Canis lupus familiaris: one gene and its partner. The main gene of each other region encodes a partner of the protein of the gene in region 2 in a complex. Links are inferred from orthologs where the notes say so. Each region holds a gene or a part of one and is shown on either strand. Other genes may lie near its edges.

Region 1 (3,648 bases), on a different chromosome or scaffold from region 2:
TTTTTATATGTCACCTCTTATATTAAAATGAGGAAACTGAAATAAAGATCTTAATTGAACCGATTACCGAATTACTTCATTTGATTGTGCTTGAATTTATTGCACTCTGAAGATATTGCATGTTTTACAAATTAAAGGTTTGTGGCAACCCTGCCAGCAAGTCTACTGGCACCATTTTTCTGATGGCATCTGTTCACTTCATGTCTCTGTGTCACATTTTGGTAATTCTTGCAAAATTTATAACTTCTTCATTACCATATCTGTTATGGTGATCTATGATCAGTGATCTCTGATGTTACCATTTTAATTGTTTTGGGGCACCATGAACCATGTGCATACAAGATAGTGAACTTAATCCATAAATGTGTTTTCATTGTTTCACCAACTGGTGGTTCCTGTGTCTCTCTCCCTCTCCTTGGGCCTCCCTGAGACTTCATATTGAAATTAATAACCCTATAACGTCTTCTAAGTATTCAAGTAAAAGGAAGAATTGTACATTTCCCACTTAAAATCAAAAGTTAAAACTTAAGCTTAATGAGGAAAGCATGTGGAATTCAAGATAGGCCAAAACCTGGGGCTCTTATGCCAAACAGCTAACTTGTGAATACAAAGGAAAAGTTCTTGAAGGAAAAAAAAAATGCTACTTCAGTAAACACACAGATGATAAGAAAAAAATGCTACCTCAGTAAACACACAGATACAAAAAAAGTGAAACAGCCTTATTTCCAATATAGAAAAAGCTTACTGGTCTGAACAGAAGATCAAACTAGCCACAACATTCCTTTCAGGCAAAGCCTAATTTAGAGCAAGGCCCTAACTCTCTTCCATTCTATGAAGGCTGAGAGAGTTAAGGACACTGCATAAGAAAAGTCTGAAGTAAATAAAAGTCGGTTCTGAGGTTTAAGGAAAGAAGACATCTCCATAACATAAAAGCTTAAGGTAAAGCAGCAACAGTGAGGCAAGCAAGGCCCTCCACCAGAAAAAAAAAAAGATTAAAACTTGGTATAAAGCTCAAATAATGGATAGCATTTTTTAGCAATAAAGTATTTTTAAATTAAGGTATACACTTTGTTTAATCAGACATTAATGCTGTTGTACAATTAAAAGACTGTAAGATTGCACAGACATAACTTTTATATGCACTGGGAGACCAAAACTTTCATTTGACTTGGTTTTATTGCAACATTCACTTCATTGTGGTGGTCTGGTACCAAACCTGCAGTATCTCCGAGGTATACCTGTATACATATGCTACTAACAATTCTTTTAGAAAGTTTAAAATTGAGCTTTTCACTATATTTATTTTCCTGGATAAGAATCCATTATTGTAGGGATTTATTTTTTTCTTGATCATAAAATTGCTTTGTTCTCTACTTGCCTTATATTCTTCCATTTTGTCTTCATCGGTTTCTCCTTCATCCTGATACTTACGTTTTGCATTTGGAGCAGAGGTATCATAGGAAGCCCTGAAAAATTAAAACTGGAGTATCACACACAGATATAGAAAGATGTATAAATGGTAGCTATTAATAATATTAAATGACAGTTTATAAAAACAGAACAAGGCACTTTTTTCTGATTAAACGGTATCTATCTATTCATTCAGTTTATAAATCAAAAAAGTCATACATCCTGATTGGTAATTCTGTATTTTATTATTATGAGAAAGCAACCAAATCAGAAACTTAAGTTCATGTAATGGATATATGGCAAAAAGAAACTTCTATATTATGTTACCATTCTAATTTGTCTTAAGAAAAATTGATATTCAAATTAATAACCAGAATACTGAAAAATTCTGAAGTGCTTTCTGAACTACCAATGAAAACTGCTTTTAGGGTAAAGCCTGTTTTTTCTTATAAGAATTTGTAAATATAATTGTTTATTTATGGTATATAAGCTATCCTTAGTCTAACATTCCATTTTCTAACTACTTTATGAATAAGAACTTATTACATTCAGAAAATAAGTATTCATAATTCATGAATACTAAAAACCAGTATTTCTGAAATCTTTTATTTTGATGCCTGTCATTAACAACACACTTCATACCTAGGATTATGTTTATCAAAACAATAACCCAGGGCACCTGGGTGGCTCAGTCAGTTAAGCGCCTGCCTTCAGCTCAGGTCATGATCTGGAGTCTTGGAGATCAAGCTCAGCTTTGGGCTCCCTGCTCAGCAGGGAATCTGCTTGTCCCTTTCCTCTGCCCCTCCCCCTGCTCATGTCCGCCCTCCCTCTTTCTCTTTGCCTCAAATAAAATCTTAAAAAAAAAAACAAAAAACATTCACAATATTCACGTCACTAAAAAAAAAAAAAAGAAAAAAATTCAACTACCTGCAAGTTTCTCTTGTTTCAGCAATTTCTCTCTGCTCATCTTTGCTATTTAACACAGCACCAATGCTGTCCGCACTTTCGGCTCCCAACTGAGAAAAGACAAAAACCAAAAATTAGATCATAATGCACTGGATAGCCTTCCCAGCTTATGTAGTAACATTTAATATATCAGATATTAAAAAACAAAACAAGGAGCACCTGGGTGGCTCAGTCAGTTAAATGTCTGCCTTTGGCTCAGGTCATGATCCCAGGGTCCAGGGATGGAGCCCCACATTGCAGTTCCCTGCTCAGCAGGGAGTCAGCTTCTCTCCACCCCCCACCCCTGCCCAGCCCCCCTTGTATGTGCCTGTGACTGCGCGTGTGCACTCTCTCAGATAAATAAATAAAATCCTTAAAAAAAACAAAACAAAACAAAAAATCTTAACAACCTCAGCAGGCAAATAGATTAGTTAATTTGCAGGAATAATAGGAAATACCTTGGAACAAAACCATGTTAATTAGGAATAAATTGGAGAGCTAGTGAGCATATTATACTTTCAGTTATATTTGAAATTAAGACAATTTTAGCCAATCTTCTACTTTTTAAGTAAATAATAAAACACAATTTAGTAATAGTAGCAATAACAAAAAAAGCGGCTAACGTATAGGCACTAACACTTTGCATCTGTCAATTCACATATTACACTTTATCCTGTGCTATAATAAATATCCAGTTTTATTCAAGTCTTTTTTTTTTTAATTTTTATTTATTTATGATAGTCACACACAGAGAGAGAGAGAGAGAGAGAGAGAGAGAGAGAGAGGCAGAGATGCAGGCAGAGGGAGAAGCAGGCTCCATGCACTGGGACCCCAACATGGGACTCGATCCCAGGTCTCCAGGATTGCGCCCTGGGCCAAAGGCAGGCACCAAACCGCTGTGCCACCCAGGGATCCCTATTCAAGTCTTTATACAATGATCTATAGGCACAATACTGAACTTTAATAATTCCTAAAAAGTGGTAATGCAAATTCTGTTTAGCAGTTGGAGAAATTTTGCAAAACAGAACAAATAACTAGTTGAGATAAACTGGCTACAGAGAGTGGGATCAGTTCACGGAAATCTTTAAAAGCCAAACAAACAAGTGTAGAATGCAATTTATAGGCCATGAAGAACCATTTGATATTTTTTAAGTACAAGAAGGGCATGAGGAAATTTGGATTAATTAGTTCCTTTAGCTCAAGAAAGGGAATATACTAAAATATCAGAGCTGCAAGTGGTCTTGTTAGCCTTGATCTTAAACAATTACCACTACCTTTTTAGTCTGCCTACCT
Region 2 (4,244 bases):
TAAGAACTTAGTTTTGGTGGGGGTCAGGACTCTGGTTCCCCCATCAAATGAACCAAAATAACCCAGCAGAGAATTCAAACCAAGGGGTAGGATGTGGGGAAGGGTGGTGGTCGGATTTTAAAAGAACTGCTTTTGTGACACAAACGCGGAGCTGGAGCCAGGTCTGGGCTAGGCAGTGTCTCTTACTATAACTATCACCATGTGTTCCTCCTCTAGCTTGCCCAATGTCCTCAGTGCTGACTGGAGGTACTGCTGTGAAAAGTCGCAGGGCGGGAAGGCGTAGAGCATGCCTGTGCTGTCTCTGCCCTTGGACCCACCCACCGGCAGGCTGATCACCCCTGCGGCCTGCTTCTGTTTCAAGTAGGAGACCAGGTTCCTGAGAAGCCGCCTCTGTAGGCCTGGCTCCACCGTGGGCATCCCCTCAGTGCCAGGCCCGCTGGGGGTCGCCTGGGTGGCTAGGAGCACCGCATAGCCATTGGGGCTCCCCTGCTTGATGCGCCGCGTGACCTCATCGAGCTTGGGCTGGTCCAGCCGCAGACGCTGGGCAATCTTCAGCTGGGTCAGCTTGCTCCCGGAAGTGTGGTCTTTGAGGAGGCCCGTGATAACCCCTTGGTCCCCCTCTAGGATGTGCATAGATGTTGGGAAGCAGCTGTTTTTCAACACTAGGAGCCCATTCCAACCCAGCTGCAGTGTCTGGGCATACTCGGAAAGATTCTTGAGCTTTTTGGTCTCGTGTTTTGGCTCTTCCAGAGGCTTGGGTTCAGCCTCAGCGGTCCGATGATTGCGCTCGCTCTCTCGGGTCTTCTTCCCATGGGAAGAGTCTGGAGCCTCGTGGTGGTGGTGGTGGCTCCGCTCCTCAGCCCCGTGTCTGCTGTTGCTGAGGGAGTTGCTGCTCGACTCCTTGGTCCCATCACTGGAGTGATTCTCCTTACGGCTGCGCTCAGGAGTGCGGTCAGAGCCCCGGTCCACCTGTGGCCCACCACCCTTGGTCCTGCTCCTCTCCTCGTAAGGGGAGTGGGTTGTCCTCCCGCGGTCACTGGAGAGGCTCCTCCGCTTCCGCCTCTCCTCCCAGGGCTTGGGCAGGCCCCGGTCCCCATCTCCCCAGCGCTCCCCACTCCGGCTGCGCACTGAGCGGCTGTAGCCCTCCAGGCTGTTTCGGCGGTCAGAGCTTTTACTAGGGCTGGTCCAGTCCCCTTCCAAAAAGGTCCGGTCCCGGTCTGAGTACAGGAGGTGTGGGGGGGTCCTATCCCGCACCCGGAGGTCTGCATCCAGGCTTCGATGCCGGGTATATCCATCTGGGAGCAGCTCATAATGCACAGGGAGGGGTGAGGGCTGGTACTGCTGGGGATACCGGGTCTCCTCTGCTTTGGCAAAATCCACACGCAGCCTTCGGTCTGGACCACCCAAGGGAAAGCCCCTCATTTTTGCGCAGGCGGCCTGAGCTGCATCCAAGCTCTCATACTGGATGTAAGCAAAACTATCTCCCTTGACGTGATCAATGGTCCGAATGCTCCCGAAGCGGTCAAACTCCCGGGCCAGAGCGGCCAGTGAGGTGTTAGGTCCCAGGCCGCCCACCCAGAGGCGAGTGGTGGGGTTGGCCTTGCCATAGCCTATCTTAATGGGGTTTCGGCCAATCACCCGGCCCGACATGGCCACCTTGGCCCTGTGGGCCATGTCTAGATTCTGGAACTTGAGGAAGGCATACGCACCACCCTGGCCACGGGCAGGTCTCTTGATGACCACCTCCTCAATGATGCCGTACTTCTCAAAGGCCCGCCGCAACTCCACCTCGGACACGCTGTGGTCCAGGTTCCCGATGAAGAGGTTGCGCGTGGCCCGCTGGTCGTCCTCAGGCATCAGGTCCTCCTCGCACACGGCGGGGTAGCCGTATGGGCGCCCGCGGTCGTCGTACAGACCGTAGTAGTCCAGGGCCCGCTCCCGGGACAGTCCTACTGCGGCGGCGGCGGCAGCATCCAGGGCAAAGGCCGCCGCGGCGTGGCGGGCGCGGGGCTCCCGTAGCGGAGGGGCGGCCACTGGGGACAGAGAGCGCTGCTTGTACTGGTAGCCGCCGTGCAGCGGCAGGTAACCGAGCGGGTCGGCGGGCGCGGGCGGCCCTGGGGGCGGCGTGGAGGCGGCAGCACTGCTGCTGCTGCTTCGCCGGCTGCTCCCGCCGCCGCCGCCGCCGCCGCCGCCGCCGCCGCCGCCGCCGCCACGCAGGTACACCGGCTCCACCTTGAGCGGCCGGTCGTAGAGCAGCAGCTGGCGGGCCAGGGCGTGCTGGCGGGCCTCGCGTGCGTCCTGCGGGTGCCGGAAGTTCACGTAGGCCACGCGGCCCAGCTCTGGCGTGTGCGACAGGCGCAGGCTGATCTCGCCAAAGCGCTTGAACTGGTGGAAGAGTCGGTCCTCGAGGTGCTCGGCGGGCAGCGCGGGGCTCAGGCTGCTGATGAGCAGCGTCTTGTACTCGGGTGCGGCCGCCGATGAGCCGGGCCCCGCGGGCTCGGCCCCGGGCGGTGGCGGAGGTGGCGGCAGCGGAGACGCGCGAGGTGATGCACCTGAAGCGCCTGGGTCCCCGGAGGCCTTGCCACCGCGTCCCCCGCCGCCAGCGCCCGAGCCCGAGGAGCGGCCGCTGCTCGCACGGTGATTCGCGTCCCCGGCGCCGCGGCCGTCGCGATGCCCACCCCCGCCGCCCCCGCTACCGCGGGGTTTGTCGCGGGCCCGCGTTGGAACGGGATGCTTGGCGCCGCCCGAGGCCTTGTGCGCCGCCCGCCGCCCGCCCGCCTCCGCCTCCCGTTCGCGCTCCCGCGGCCGCTTGGCCGACGATGACGAGCCGCGCCCGCTCGGGCTCGAGTCTCGCTCGCTCTGCCTCTTCATGGCGCCGGCGCGGCGGGCGGGCGGGCGGCCCGCAGGCCCCTCACAGCGGCGGCGGCGGCGGCCGAGGAGGCAGCGCCCCCGGCGCCGCCATCTTGGACAAAAGGACTCGGCGCGGCGGTGGCGGCGGGGCGGGGCGGGAGCGGCGCCCAGGGGCTGGGCGTCGCGTTATCAGGCAGCGCCGGACTGTCACGTGACCCCGCGGCGGGCGGGGCGAGAGCTACGCCGGGTGTGCGTCATCGGACTGCGCCGCCCCCATCACGTGACCCCCGGGGGCGGGGCAGGGGCCGGGAGGCCGGCGGGCGATCGCGGCCCGGCATTGAGCTCTGGCGCCACCGCGCGGCCTTGGGGCCGGGCTGCGCGGAGATGGGGGCCATCGCGAGAGCGGGCCTGGTTCGCTCCTGCCGGCCCTAGGCTTCCCGCTTCCGGCGCGGGGGCCCGCGCTGCGTGGAACAGGAGTGGCAGTGCCTGTGGGCGCCGGGCTCCCGACTCTTGACCAGCGGCCTCTTTACGTAGCATCCCCCGACTGGTCCGGGGTCGACGGTGAAGAGGATCTAAGCACGCCGCTCCCTCAGCCCTGTCCAGCGCCCACGCCCCACAAAGCAGGGATCCTCCGCATTCAGGTATCACCTGCTGCGGTCCCTGGAAAGGCCGCGATGACCAAGGGCTGTCCATGCAAAAGGCGAGGCTCAGCAGGGTTGAGGCGGAGAAACCCGCGCCAGCAAACCCGCCGTTTACCGAGTGCGAATTGGCGCCACTAGGCTGCGGCCCTCCGAGCAGTGGGCTGAGGGCAGGGCCACGGAGCCAAGGGCGAAGAGAAGGCCAAACCCAGTCGTTAGCACAGCTTGCTACGCTTACCTCTTGAGGCTGACCAGTGCCCTTCTATCCACTTCGAGGGCCAGGACCTCTTCTCCAGAGGTGAGGTGCGGGGGAGGCGGAAAGAATCCTGCCTGGGTGCCCAAGCGGCCTTGGGATGGTTTTATTCCCGAGAGCTGCTGGAAGCATCGCAGAACCTGACCCTTCTGCACGGAAACCGTGGGGGCGGGGAAGAGGCTGCCAGTTCCTCCTCCTCCTCCTCCCATGACCATACATAAAGCAGCTCCTGGAGCAGCTGAGGCAAGTGCAAGGGGAAAGCTCTTAAAAGAAACATCTGTAACATTGTCTGATCTTAACTCCCCTTCCAGCAGGAATGAGTTAACCCTTTGTAGATAACCGTGGGGGTCAGCCCTAGAGTGGGAGTGGTTGGGTTGTTTTTCTGTTCCTGTGTTCAGTGTGGCCTGTAGGCCATGGCCATCTACTTCCTAAGATTTCTATCGCCAGCCGTGGATTTTCCCAGCACCTATAAGGGGCTCAGGACACACTGCGCTGGTCACATC

What was found. The genes of interacting proteins can lie anywhere in the genome.
Region 1: RBM15B (region 2) and METTL14 share a complex: the UniProt entries of both Homo sapiens proteins name them as parts of the WMM complex. The link is inferred for Canis lupus familiaris from reciprocal best matches to the Homo sapiens genes RBM15B and METTL14.

Annotation. Positions count from the first base shown.
Region 1 is NC_049253.1:2,174,407-2,178,054, forward strand, and holds part of METTL14 (N6-adenosine-methyltransferase non-catalytic subunit), read right to left. Parts: intron 2,427-3,648; coding exon 2,338-2,426; intron 1,467-2,337; coding exon 1,379-1,466; intron 1-1,378. UniProt on the Homo sapiens protein: The METTL3-METTL14 heterodimer forms a N6-methyltransferase complex that methylates adenosine residues at the N(6) position of some mRNAs and regulates the circadian clock, differentiation of embryonic stem cells and cortical neurogenesis.
Region 2 is NC_049241.1:38,597,447-38,601,690, forward strand, and holds the start of RBM15B (putative RNA-binding protein 15B), read right to left. Parts: upstream 2,872-4,244; coding exon 169-2,871; 3' UTR 1-168. UniProt on the Homo sapiens protein: RNA-binding protein that acts as a key regulator of N6-methyladenosine (m6A) methylation of RNAs, thereby regulating different processes, such as alternative splicing of mRNAs and X chromosome inactivation mediated by Xist RNA.